Linked DNA regions of Drosophila melanogaster. Each later gene encodes a partner of the first gene's protein in a complex. Each region holds a gene or a part of one and is shown on either strand. Other genes may lie near its edges.

Region 1 (3,450 bases):
GCTCATCGTGTGTTTGTTTTGCTTTACTTACCCATTGCAGGCACCTCGAGGAATTGCTAGACGGGTCCATTAGCAGTCAATCAGCCGCAGAGAAGAGCCAGCAAAAGATACAGATACAGGCGGAGCAAAAGATACAGGATGCACGAGAGACAAGTGAAGAAGTGAGTAGCGCGGATGGGCCACTTAACGGCTAATACAGCGGCGATAACATTTGCGATCCAATTACAGGTTGAAGGGCAGCCATTATGTGGCCACGCACGGTCGCCTCACTCCGGATCCGCCCTACGTCCACTCGAACCGCGGCTATTCCACCGACGGCGATGAGACCCACTCCCACCGGGCGCCCTCGGAGCGCACCTATTCGGAGTACACGTTGACCCACGAGCGCATCTCGCCGCAGTACAATGGTTCGCGCAAGAAGCGCTCCTCATCCTCGAATGGAAACCATCAGCATCAGCACCTGCAGAGCAGCTACAGCCACAGTCAGATGGGCCTCTCCAGTTCGCCGGACAACGGAGGACCTCGCTCCCTCAGCGGACCGCCGCCCACGCGCCAGCCACCGCGTGCTCCGTCCGCCCTGAGCTATGACCAGGCTGGTGACGCCGGCAGCGACATCTATGTGACCAGTGCCGCCTACAAGGCGCCCTCCGAGATCAGGTGCGTTGTTACAACTATATAGCATATAACCCATATCTAAACTATCTATCATCCATTACAGTCGCTACAGTCAGCGTCCAGTGTCGCGAGGAGCTCCACGGAGTGTTTACTCCGTGGCCAGTACGGCCAAAACCGGACGCAGTGCGCGCTCGACGACTCGGCGAGGCGCCAAAGTGGAAACCATGTCCGCGCCGAATCCATTTTGCCCCAATGTCAAGGGCGTGTGCTGTCTGATGCTGTTGCTCAACTTGGGCCTGATCCTGGTGACGCTAGGATTCGTCATTGTGGTGCAGTTCTATGAGCCACTGTACGTGTGGATACTGGGAATTGTGTTCCTGGTCTTCGGCTTCCTCACGCTAATCGGCTGCATGATCTACTGTGTGTACGTGTTCCGGGATGCGAAGACGCCATCGCAGGTGCGCAACGAGGATCTCTACTGGACGCGGCACTGGCAGAAGAATATCGGATACACGCCGCAGGAGATCAACTACAAGGCGGACAAGTACGATGCCTACTCGGATCGCTATTCGGTTAGCAAGCTGAGTGGCAAATACTCGGATCGCGAGAGCCAGCGATACTGATTGTTATGCATATGTACATATGTATGTATGTACATACATATGCGGTTTGATGAAAGGGGATCCTTTGGGCGGAGAAGAAATATGAATAGCCACATATAAACCACTTATATCTTAACTAATTGTAAGACTATCTACTAGTTCTAAACGGTTATTAACAAGGCCCCTCCAACGTACCTGCTGCAAGTTGCTTGCTGGTTTGTATGTTTTAAGAGTGAAACTGACGGGAGACGCGAACGCGAGGATGCAACAGAGTATTGTAATCTGCCATATTTGAGAAGGTTTGTTAGGTTTGATTTGGCTAATCAACAGAAGAGTTTTATGCTAAAATTGTAACTGCAATTGTAACACACGAGAAATAAACAAGCAAATAATACCTACTAGAGATAACGCTGCGAATTTGTTTTATTTTTGAACAGTCTCTTCTACTCTTTGCTTTTGAGTACTTGATTCCCTTTTTTTTGAGTGTATGAAATAACCCATGTGGCAACTCCTATTAGTCTGGCAACCTCTCTGTTACGGTATTTTTACAACGTGGTATTAACAGCGCTCCGGAATACTATACGGTATATTTCAGCAATCGAAGAACGGCCACATTGCGGTGTGGAAAATAAACAAATTGCAATTATTGCTTAGCACAAACGATTTGCCGTGATAATGTCGTTTCATTTGAGCACAAAAGAGCGCCTTCTGCTCCTGATCGACGACATTGAGATGATTGCCAAGGAGTTGATCGAGCAGGCGCACCAGAAGATCTCCAGCACCGAATTGGTGGACCTGTTGGATTTGCTGGTGGCCAAAGATGAGGAATTTCGCAAAATGCTGGAACTGGCGGAGGAGCAGGCGAAAGTGGAGGAGGCGATGGACCAACTGCGCGCTAAGGTCGAGGTGCACGTAAGTAGAAGTTTTGCATTCCCCAAAAATAAGGTATAATCTGGATTTTCCCGCTTAGGACCGTGAGATCCAGAAGCTGCAAAAGTCGCTAAAGGATGCGGAGCTCATACTGTCCACGGCCATCTTCCAAGCGCGACAGAAACTGGCCAGCATCAATCAGGCCAACAAACGACCGGTTTCATCCGAGGAGCTCATCAAATACGCACATCGGATTAGCTCCGCCAATGCGGTCAGTGCTCCGCTCACCTGGTGCATAGGTGACCTGCGGCGTCCCTATCCCACGGACATTGAGATGCGCAACGGGCTGCTGGGTAAATCCGAGCAGAACATCAACGGCGGAACAGTGACCCACCAGAACAGCGGCATGCCCTCGGAGCAGCAGCGAACGCTGTCCGGTAGCGCAGGAAGTGGGAGTGGCAGTGGCGCCGGCGGCGAGGTGCCCAATGCCTTCCAGAACCAGTTTAACTGGAATCTCGGAGAGCTGCACATGACCATGGGCGCCTCTGGGAACACAGTGGCCCTGGAGACGCGCGCCCAGGACGATGTGGAGGTCATGTCCACGGATAGCTCAAGCTCCAGTTCCAGCGATTCGCAGTAGAATTGGATAAAAAACTATAACTAAATCTCGTTTAAGCTAGTAGTATTAGGTATTTAATAAAAGCGCGCTGTAAGGAAGTCTAGTTATGTATATATTTGAGTAGCTGGGATACATATCTAATTTTATGACCTTCTTTAATGATATTAATTTACAATTTAAATTGGCATTTAAAAAAATGCAAAGTTATGTATCAGTGGAAACAGCTTATAATAGCTTCGTGTCAAGAGCTTGGTACTTTTGCGCTAGTGCGATACGGTCCTCCTCAACCATATAAACAATCGATTGGCAGGGTCGCGTGCAATCGATACTTTGACAGCTCGCAATTATTTTAGCTTTGGTTTTTCAAATAAAATGGAATGCAACGCGTATGCAGCGTGTTTCAAGTAGCTAAAATGTGGCCAAGGTGTAGTCCAGTGTCGCCGCCAATCGCAGATCAGCCCCGTGTGCGTCTTTAACGAGAGATAAGCCCCGAAAACGATAGTAGAAAACCGACCCCCCGTTCGCAGTGTGTGTGTACAGAGGGCGAAGCGAAGCGAAGGCTCGACTCAAACCAATTGCAATATCAAATATAAAGAAAAAGTGGAAGTGGAAGGTGGAGTGGAGTGGAGGCCAGGGAGCGAGAGACACCGCCATCGCCACTTGCATCGCCGCATCCGCAATCGGGTTACATACGACACTCACATACCACACAGCCAGCCAGCACACAGGCCAAACTTTTACTTT
Region 2 (5,010 bases), on another chromosome or scaffold:
AAACGTTTTTTATTGATAATATTTAGTTTTAAGAGATGGTCAAACGCTCTATTCTCTGAATAGACCGAGATTAACTTGAATGTCTTATATTTTCTAAAGTATACGTTTTTTCAAAATTCAAAAGTGTTGGCAAACGATGTTATTGCAATTTAAAATATAAAATTTTTGAAAAAGTACACTTTTTGATTATCGAACTTTTTTGAAAATTCAGATCTCAAAGACTGGACGTGGACAAAAAAAAACTAATTGGTGGGCACACGATTCCAGCTTTCAAATTTCGAAAATTCCATTTTTCCGAACCCAGCTTCTTTGAGCTTCTGCAAGGATAGACACAAAGACAAATACAATTGAATCATACCCGAATCTGTTGTCAGAGCGGCCTGTTGAAACCCGTCGCTGGCTTTTGCACCAAATCTTGTATTTGTTGCGACCTGTCCTTCTCTTTCCTTACTTCTTTTTTCCTTTTTTAATTTGCGTTGCCGTGAGCTTGGTGTAGATGGTATTGGAAGTGGCGCAGGAACAATTGAGTTTAATTTTTTTGGATTTAACGAACCGTTATTGTCATTCTCATCGGAATCCGAAGCTATGTCAATAACAACTGAAGCTTCGTTTATCTTCACGGTGCTGTCATCGGTCAAGTTAATCACGGAATTTACCGAATGATCTATGACGATGGGCTGAGGAGAGGCCACGTGGCAACTTCGGATGGAATGCGAATGTCGCCGATCCTTGTGAGTATGCAATGTCGTTATAGCGATGTTTTCGTGGCGATCGCTATCTTTTATACTATTTACAAGGTTGGAGAAGTTCGGATGAAGTAGGGTATGTTCACCCGAAAGCGGAGGCTCCGCAGAGTCGATATTTGAATGCAAATCTGAAACTATTTGCTGCGAAGGAGCAATTGGTTCTGTAATAAAGCTGGTGATAGGGGACTTAACCAAATCTAATGCTGGTTGTGAAGATGAAATTTGACTGGGATGTGCCAAATTTTCAGTGGCTGTTTGCTGAATTCCTACCATTTCCCGCCACTTTTTCAGCAAGGATTTTGCACGTCGAGCCAAATGTTCATTCTTAGTCCTTCTTCTGAGCTGATTTATGTACTTAGCCAATCTGGTGGCCTCCAACTGCTCCTTGGTGATAGTTGTACCCTCCAATGCACATATGACACAGAGAACTGCGTCCATATTGACGACCTGAAAAGATCTTTACATTAACTGATTTGTTGATAAGGTAATACGTTTTCTTACATCGTAGTTTTGATCAAGTGCCTGGGATAGGTGAGTAGTAAGTTCCTGTATTTCGATTTGGTTCATTTATATCTTGCGGTGCGTAAATATTGCCCTGATCCAGATTCAAGGGACGGCGAAATGCAAATACTGTCCAAGTTAGAAAAATAAGGAAAGTAATAGAAAAGTAAGTAGTAGGTAGAAAGTAAAAAGTTATAGTGTATTCACTTCACGTTGTTGCAAAATAAATACTATTATAAATAGCCGTAAAATTGCTATTAAGTAAAGTTTAAAGACCCAGAAGTTCAAAAATTTTAATACCCGAGTTAGTAGCGTGTCTGTGAAACACTCATACCAATACAAAACGTGTATTGCTCAATCGTTATGCTTACAAATATGCACACTTCGAATGTAAAGTCTGTGCTTCCTGAGCGCACTTCCTTGAATATGAAAATTTGTATTTGTCCAAAATAAGGAAAATTAATAATTTATGGTTGACTTCCCGACTTTATTACAATTCGCCATTTTTACCAATGACAGCTGCACTTCAAGGGTGGCAGAAAATCGATAAGTATTTAACAATTATTATCGATATACTTTCACGTGAATTTCTTTTAACAGGAAGGCCTGATCATACTGCTATCAAACAGAATTGAAGAGGAATTGTATTATATGTGACATGAAAACCTATAGGAGTATTATATAAAGTAAACGTCCATTTTTGGGCTAAATGCGTGAATCTCAAAATGAAAAAAGGGTCAAATATACCAGACCAGAAAATGAAGGTTTTGTTGCTTTGTGGTTTGGATATTTTCCCGTTGTCCTATATATTTTGTAAAATATAAAACGATTTCGTAGATTCTCCGTCCAGTTACCCGCTTTACTTAATATGGAGAATATTAAAATATTGTTTGTTTTTTTACCCTTAACTTATTTTATTCGGACTAGCAATGCCGTTTTTTTTTTGTTAAGGATATATAAAGATTCTTAAACTCTTTCATTTCAATGCGAAATATTTGAAAAAAGTGTGTATATATAGGATTTGTACAAAACAAATGCTCTCGGTGTTCTTCAAAAACAAAAAACAAACAAATGGCTTACAATTACCAAACCCCATAACTTGGGTTAAGGGATCATCTCACAATTGAAAAAAAGTAAACTATAGTACTATCCTTCAGCACCAAAATCGAGTATATATTTTTTTCTTATTGCAAAACCTTTGGAAGCCTTTTGTATATAAGAATATATTTTACATTTAATAAGCAACAGAAAAAGAATATGTTTAATTTTTTATATTCACATTTTACCACAGCGGCTTTTTTTTTAATATGTTCTATAATATTATTCTTATTCTGAACCTCGAGCAGAAGAGATTTTATTGACCTTCCCGTCTAAGAACTGAGCTACCCCATGCTTATACTGTGTTTCCGTGTTTGACAAAAACCAAAACTGACTGTGTCCATATATATAGTGTAATTGGAATATAAACGGTTAGTAGTACTAAATTAGGAAGAATGCTTGTCCGATCCGTTCACACTGGTAACGTTAGAATACCGGAGAAAAACTATTATTACTTAAAATGCTAATTAAGTTTAAAAAACATTTTTGTATTTCAGTACAATAATAAAAAATTTAATCATCTCCGCTAGTGAGCAAAATTCAAATATAACGACAGTGACTCTTCTGCATATAAACTTGAGATTTGCAAAAATATAGATGCATCAACTTCATAAATTCACACTTGGCTGGTTTGTCGCTCTTACCGAAATATCCTGATATATTCCTTTTGCACATACATAAATATACTTATATTATATGTCGTTTTTAATACATACCCCCACATTAATCACACTGCACATGGTCTATTCAAAGCCATATAAATAACAAGATGCGTAACGGCCATACCAAAGACACTAGAATAACAAGATGCGTAACGGCCATACATTGGTTTGGCACTATGCAGCCACTTTTTTGGTGACGGCCAAAATTGCTCTCTTTCCGCTCGCTCACGCTGAGAACATAAGAAATCTAAAAATAGAATTTGCTTGCTTGTGTGAGTAAAAACAAGAGACGGGAACGCGTATATGTGTGGGTGTTGTGCTAGAAGACGATTTTCGGGCCGAAATCAATTCTGATCAAAGAAATGAATTTACATTGTACATATTAGGGTAGTTTTTTGCCAATTTCGTAGCAATATGATGAAATAAAATAATTTTTAAAAATTCGCGCCCTTCTTATTATAATTTTAAAATTTTAATTTTAATTTTAAAATTTTTTAATTTTAAAGCTTTTTAAATTCGTTTGTTAAAATCGCCGCTCGAATTAGCTACCGTTTACATATTTATATTTATGTTGATAATTATTTATGTGTAATATGTGTAATAGTCGGTACCCAGGGAACACTACGGGGAGGCCATTACAATTGTAATGGGGTCTTATATTTACGTATATGACCTTCGAGTCGACTTGAAATATTTTAATGTTTAACATTAAAACATTTCCATATTCCCCAATTAAGTTATTTTTCTAACTATTGTTTTTTATTATATATTGCTCGATTTTTCAGTCGTCAGTTATTTAAATAACGCTCATTTTTTTTATTCATGAGATAGAATGCTGAGCTTAGCTTGCTTTTTTTGTCTATCAGCTATCACAGTCCACTTACAATGCTTAAAAAGCAAAACTTTTATAAGTTTGTTTAAAAGATCTGTTCTATGTGCATAACATTCATTATTTTCATAAAACCATAATGGGAAGGCACTACTTTCATTTGTGCACTTAATGCATTGCTCAACAATAAATTTTTTTATACACATTTGTTTTTTATTATTTTTAAAAATATTTTCGAAAGCTTTAATGTGTATTTTGTAAATATTAAAAAATAAATCAGATGGTGCCCTTAATTTCCCGAAGTCCGATTCTATTGAGTAGTTTTTCTCATGTATAAAAAGCTCTGATGGAGCTGTTAAATGCTCGGTTTCTTTTAAAATTACCGATCTGCATTTATCGCAACTGGATCCCTTAGCAATATATCCAACAAAATATCTACTGGAAGTTAATTCAATGGGTACATCATTGCACAAAAAGTTATCTATATTTTGGTCAAAGTACCTCTCATTGTCTTGCACGATTTTGGAAAATGATACAGAGTATTCTTGTTGCTGTATTTCTTTTTTTTCAACGAAAGGCTGATATATTATCGAATCGAACTCTATTGGCAACATAACATCATCATCTGATTCGCAATTCGACTTTTGTGAAAATTTAAAAATGTGTAGAGATATGAGCTTGGCAATTATTATATTAAATTCGTTAACTGAAGGATTTCTGCAGTTACCACCTTTTGCTCGAACGCACGCAAATATATTTTCAAGGGGATCCTGGTTAACTCTACTAGTTAAAAAGAAAAAGTGGTCTGTGTGATCCTTAAAGAGATCTTCGACGAGTCCAAATATAGCTTCAGTAGTTTGGATCAAGCCATCAACACAATATATTTTATTCCCGTGATATTTAACGCTCTTTAGGTATTCCTGCATTTCCTTTAGTTTGTTCCAAACTCCATTGTTAACTTGGAGCGCGCATTTCATGGGGTTTTTGTCAGTTAATACTCTGCTATTCAGGCAATCAAAGTAATCATTATCTTTTTGGACAAATGCAGCCGTAGAAGCTGCAACTTCGGAACTATTTCGATGTAATTGCTTGTTTTGGTTACAAGTCTTAATTGCCGCTGCAACAGTGTGGCTAAGTGTTTGAGTTGCCAAACATACGCGCATTAGCTCAAATC
Region 3 (3,444 bases), on another chromosome or scaffold:
AAGTGCGCCGCCTGCATGTTTTGGCTCTTTCTAGTTTTGTAAACTAAAGTATTTTTTTTTCAAATTCTTAAAGATAATTGGATGAATTTATTTTGCGACCTTCTAATCTAAAGTGGCATGTGCCCCAATAAACTATTTCGTGTCCCGTTCTTGTCCACTGTACATTGTGCTATATGCCAAACCAAATTCTATATTTTGTTTGTTCACTAGACTTAAGACAACCGACGTCACTGCAGCATGGATTTCATTTGTCTTTTCACTGAATAAACGCAGGTTGAACCAGATGCTACTTGTGTACATGATATTAAATTATCTCTCGATAAACTTAAATAGACACGACTTTATAAATTGGAATCTTAAATTAAAATCTTATAGTTTAAGATGAGTTTAATGTCTATGCAAACTGAAAATGAAAACAAATTTGCTGACGCAAATTACGTTGAAAGCGTTGTAAATGCAGACATTAGGTTATTATTTGATTTTTTTGTAAAACGATAGTTTCAGAATGACAATCTGAAGTTCTCTTTTGTTTTTAAGTGTTAAGATAAAATGGCAATGAATAAGGATTTCTTTGTTTCCTAATTACCTTAATAAAAGCAATTTCCTATTCTACAAAAATAAGGTTCATTCACCGAAGATAATGTTCTGGCTTCAATGTTTATTCATCTGTGTTTACTAAAATTTATCTTGCCGCGTATATACAATTGTAGTTAAACAAGTTAATTACTGAACCCTAGTTCTTTTTCTTGCTATTAAGCTCCTTCTTCACTCCCTCCAGCTCTTGGCGCACGTTGTTCTTAAACATGTTAACGAAGGATCTACAATTTGGAAAATGCATGTCAGATTGGCGGATTCAGCCAGATGATTCTGGCGATTCTTTCACTCACTTGAAACGCTCTGGCGTCATCTCGTGCAGTCCCTGCTCCCGGGCCAAGTCTTTTGTGCGGTACATCAGGGAAACGACCAACTGGGCAGCGCGTCTCATGGGATAGCTCTCCGCCATGCGCTGGATGAGCTGCTCGTTGTTGGCCAGGTAGCGCATTAGCAGTCGCAGCACCATCTTGCCCTTTTTTTTATTTTGCTGCCGCCTAGAACTCTGTGTCCTTGTATTTGCGAATTAGCTGCTGCTTAAGCTTCAGCTGATTTCGCAGTAGTTCCAGTCTCTGTTGCTGCTCCTCCTTATTGAAATCGATCCCGGGGAGCTGGCGGATTTGCTCGCGTGCCGATTCGAAGCGTTTTTGAAGTTCAAAGATCTACAAATCAAGTATATAGCGGTGGCAACTTATGACGAACCAAGGACTCACCTTGTGGTTGCAATCCTGGGACTCGCGCAGCTTAACGGCGTTCTCCAGAGGATCCTTTTCCACGCTGAAAGACACAAAGACGCCAGGTTATATAAGGTGCGGCATTAATTGCGCACTTGTTGCTAAAATCCGCCGATTTTCGGCATTGTCCGTGCAGGGGCAATGACACCCGGAATCCGCATCCGCGATGACCACTCACCAGCGCACAATGTCGTAGATTATCGGCAGAATCTCAATGTCCAACTGGTCAACCGTCAGATGGCACTGGCCGCCGATTCCGTTGGATGTTTGCGTCTCCTGCGATATGGTCGGCTCGAAGGGGGAGTTCGAAGTCTGAACCAGGCCGTCGGCGGTTAGGATGGGTTTTCTGTCCTCGATCTGATTGTTTGGCGACAAATCCATCATAAAAAACACGAATCGAATTTCCAGCGTCAGAATCAATAGGACCTTACCGACAACACGTAATAATACCAAAGTAATGCCCTCACATTCTCTTAATTCGATTAATATACTAAAGGGAAAAGTAGTAGATGCACAACCTGCTATCGAAGTACGATAGACCGATAGAGCCAGGCAAATGCCGCCTCTGCTTATCGATAACAAGCAACGAATCGTTTAGAATTTATAAAGAAGAAAAACATAAAGCCAACATGAGCGACAGCGGTGTTTTCGCCTTCGTAAGTAGCTGCACAAATAAAAAACTCAATAGATTAAACCTCGTTTAATCTATCTAGGAGCTTGGCGATGACCTAGCCACACGCTGTGGCAATACACTCACTGGCGTCTTTGTGCCGGGCTCACGAATCGCACTCAGCGCCTACCGGCATGTGACGCACAGTTCGCGGGATGAGCCCACAGAGAATGCTGGACAGGTTCCGGTGCTCATCTACATGGCGCAGGAGTCGACGCTGTTCGACGAACCCGTTCTCCGCAGCGTACTCGCCGAGGCGAATGCCACGTTCGCCACGCTGCAACAGTTGGGTTCGCGGGCCACACGTGCCGAGTATGTGAATATATCCCGGGCATACAGGAGCATTGTGCGCTCATGCCTGGAGAAGCTGGAGCAGGCAAAAAAATCGCCGGAGGTTCAGACAGATGAGGCGCGCCTGCAACGCTTATGTGATGCCATCGTTGTGTTCTATGCGGCAGAATGCCTGTGGCATCTCTTCGAGATTCTGTACATTCAGAGCAATCAGCTGGTGGTGCCGCAGCTGCTCGACTGGGCGCGTTTCCACTCGCCGCACGCAGAGGACAGAGCCACGGATCTACTGCTCATGGGAGAGGAGGCCAGCGAATCTGATGACTATTGGAGCATTGTCAAATCACTCATTATGCTGGGCGAAATAGATGTTACGAGAGCAGTTCTCTCGCAGAATCGCAAAGCTGGACAAACGAGCTTCAAGGCGGCCGAACAGATCCTGAAGTCCATGCCAGTGTATCAAGAGGGCTATGCCCTGCAGAAGTTTCACTCGCAGTGGGAGTTCTGGCACGTGGATACGGAACGCAAGATTCAGTCCGGCTTATTTGCCACGGAGCCGGAGCTGGAGCAGTTGATTCGTCTGGTCGCCGGCGACAGCGAGCAGTGGGATGCTGGCATCAAAGAGTCCCAGGATTTCTATGAATACCTGCCAGGATACCTGCTCTTTACCAAGCCCACCTGCAAACCCTTTGAGCTGAAAATAGCGGCAGCCAAATGGCTAAACCGATGGTGTCTTCTCCGGCCGGAAAGAGAGCAGTGCAGCATGAACCGCATGGTTTCTCAGCTTATGGATCACGATCTTAGACTATTTATATACGATGCTCAAAAACTTAACGACACACACTGGTTCTCAACGCATTTGATTGATCTTATCCATCATTGTGGTCAGCTGAAGAGCTATTTCGATCAGAACAACATGTGAGTTTTTTTGTCAGAAGTTATGTTCAATCAATATGCTATATATTTTATGCACCCACAGCGATCTTCCGGCCCTGCGTCACTCAATGATCTATGAGTACGGCAGCTATCTGATGACGTCCCACAATATGTGGCAACTGGGCATCGACTATCTGGACTGTTGCAAGCAGGAGGGTCAGGCGGCTATCGAGCTGCTTTTGCCCCGAATCACTTTGCGCAGCGAGCGGCAAGCCACCAAGCTTA

The links. The genes of interacting proteins can lie anywhere in the genome.
Region 2: MED4 (region 1) and MED26 share a complex: the UniProt entries of both Drosophila melanogaster proteins name them as parts of the mediator complex.
Region 3: MED4 (region 1) and MED9 share a complex: the UniProt entries of both Drosophila melanogaster proteins name them as parts of the mediator complex.

The regions. Positions count from the first base shown.
Region 1 is NT_037436.4:7,248,887-7,252,336, reverse strand, and holds MED4 (mediator complex subunit 4), read left to right. Parts: upstream 1-1,809; 5' UTR 1,810-1,892; coding exon 1,893-2,129; intron 2,130-2,187; coding exon 2,188-2,727; 3' UTR 2,728-2,808; downstream 2,809-3,450. Other genes in the region: CG14830 (uncharacterized protein), read left to right, coding at 139-161, 229-657, 719-1,238. UniProt on the Drosophila melanogaster protein: Component of the Mediator complex, a coactivator involved in the regulated transcription of nearly all RNA polymerase II-dependent genes.
Region 2 is NC_004353.4:785,834-790,843, forward strand, and holds the start of MED26 (mediator complex subunit 26), read right to left. Parts: upstream 3,146-5,010; 5' UTR 3,062-3,145; intron 1,782-3,061; exon of another isoform or gene 1,619-1,781; intron 1,377-1,618; 5' UTR 1,314-1,376; coding exon 1,248-1,313; intron 1,194-1,247; coding exon 359-1,193; intron 1-358. UniProt on the Drosophila melanogaster protein: Component of the Mediator complex, a coactivator involved in the regulated transcription of nearly all RNA polymerase II-dependent genes.
Region 3 is NT_033778.4:18,165,582-18,169,025, reverse strand, and holds MED9 (mediator complex subunit 9), read right to left. Parts: upstream 1,772-3,444; 5' UTR 1,710-1,771; coding exon 1,504-1,709; intron 1,369-1,503; coding exon 1,305-1,368; intron 1,254-1,304; coding exon 1,089-1,253; 3' UTR 1,061-1,088; coding exon of another isoform or gene 888-1,060; intron 819-887; coding exon of another isoform or gene 734-818; 3' UTR 646-733; downstream 1-645. Other genes in the region: Dgp-1, read left to right, coding at 1-1; CG42518 (uncharacterized protein), read right to left, coding at 734-818, 888-1,060; Nup75 (nucleoporin 75kD), read left to right, coding at 1,955-1,981, 2,039-3,201, 3,263-3,444. UniProt on the Drosophila melanogaster protein: Component of the Mediator complex, a coactivator involved in the regulated transcription of nearly all RNA polymerase II-dependent genes.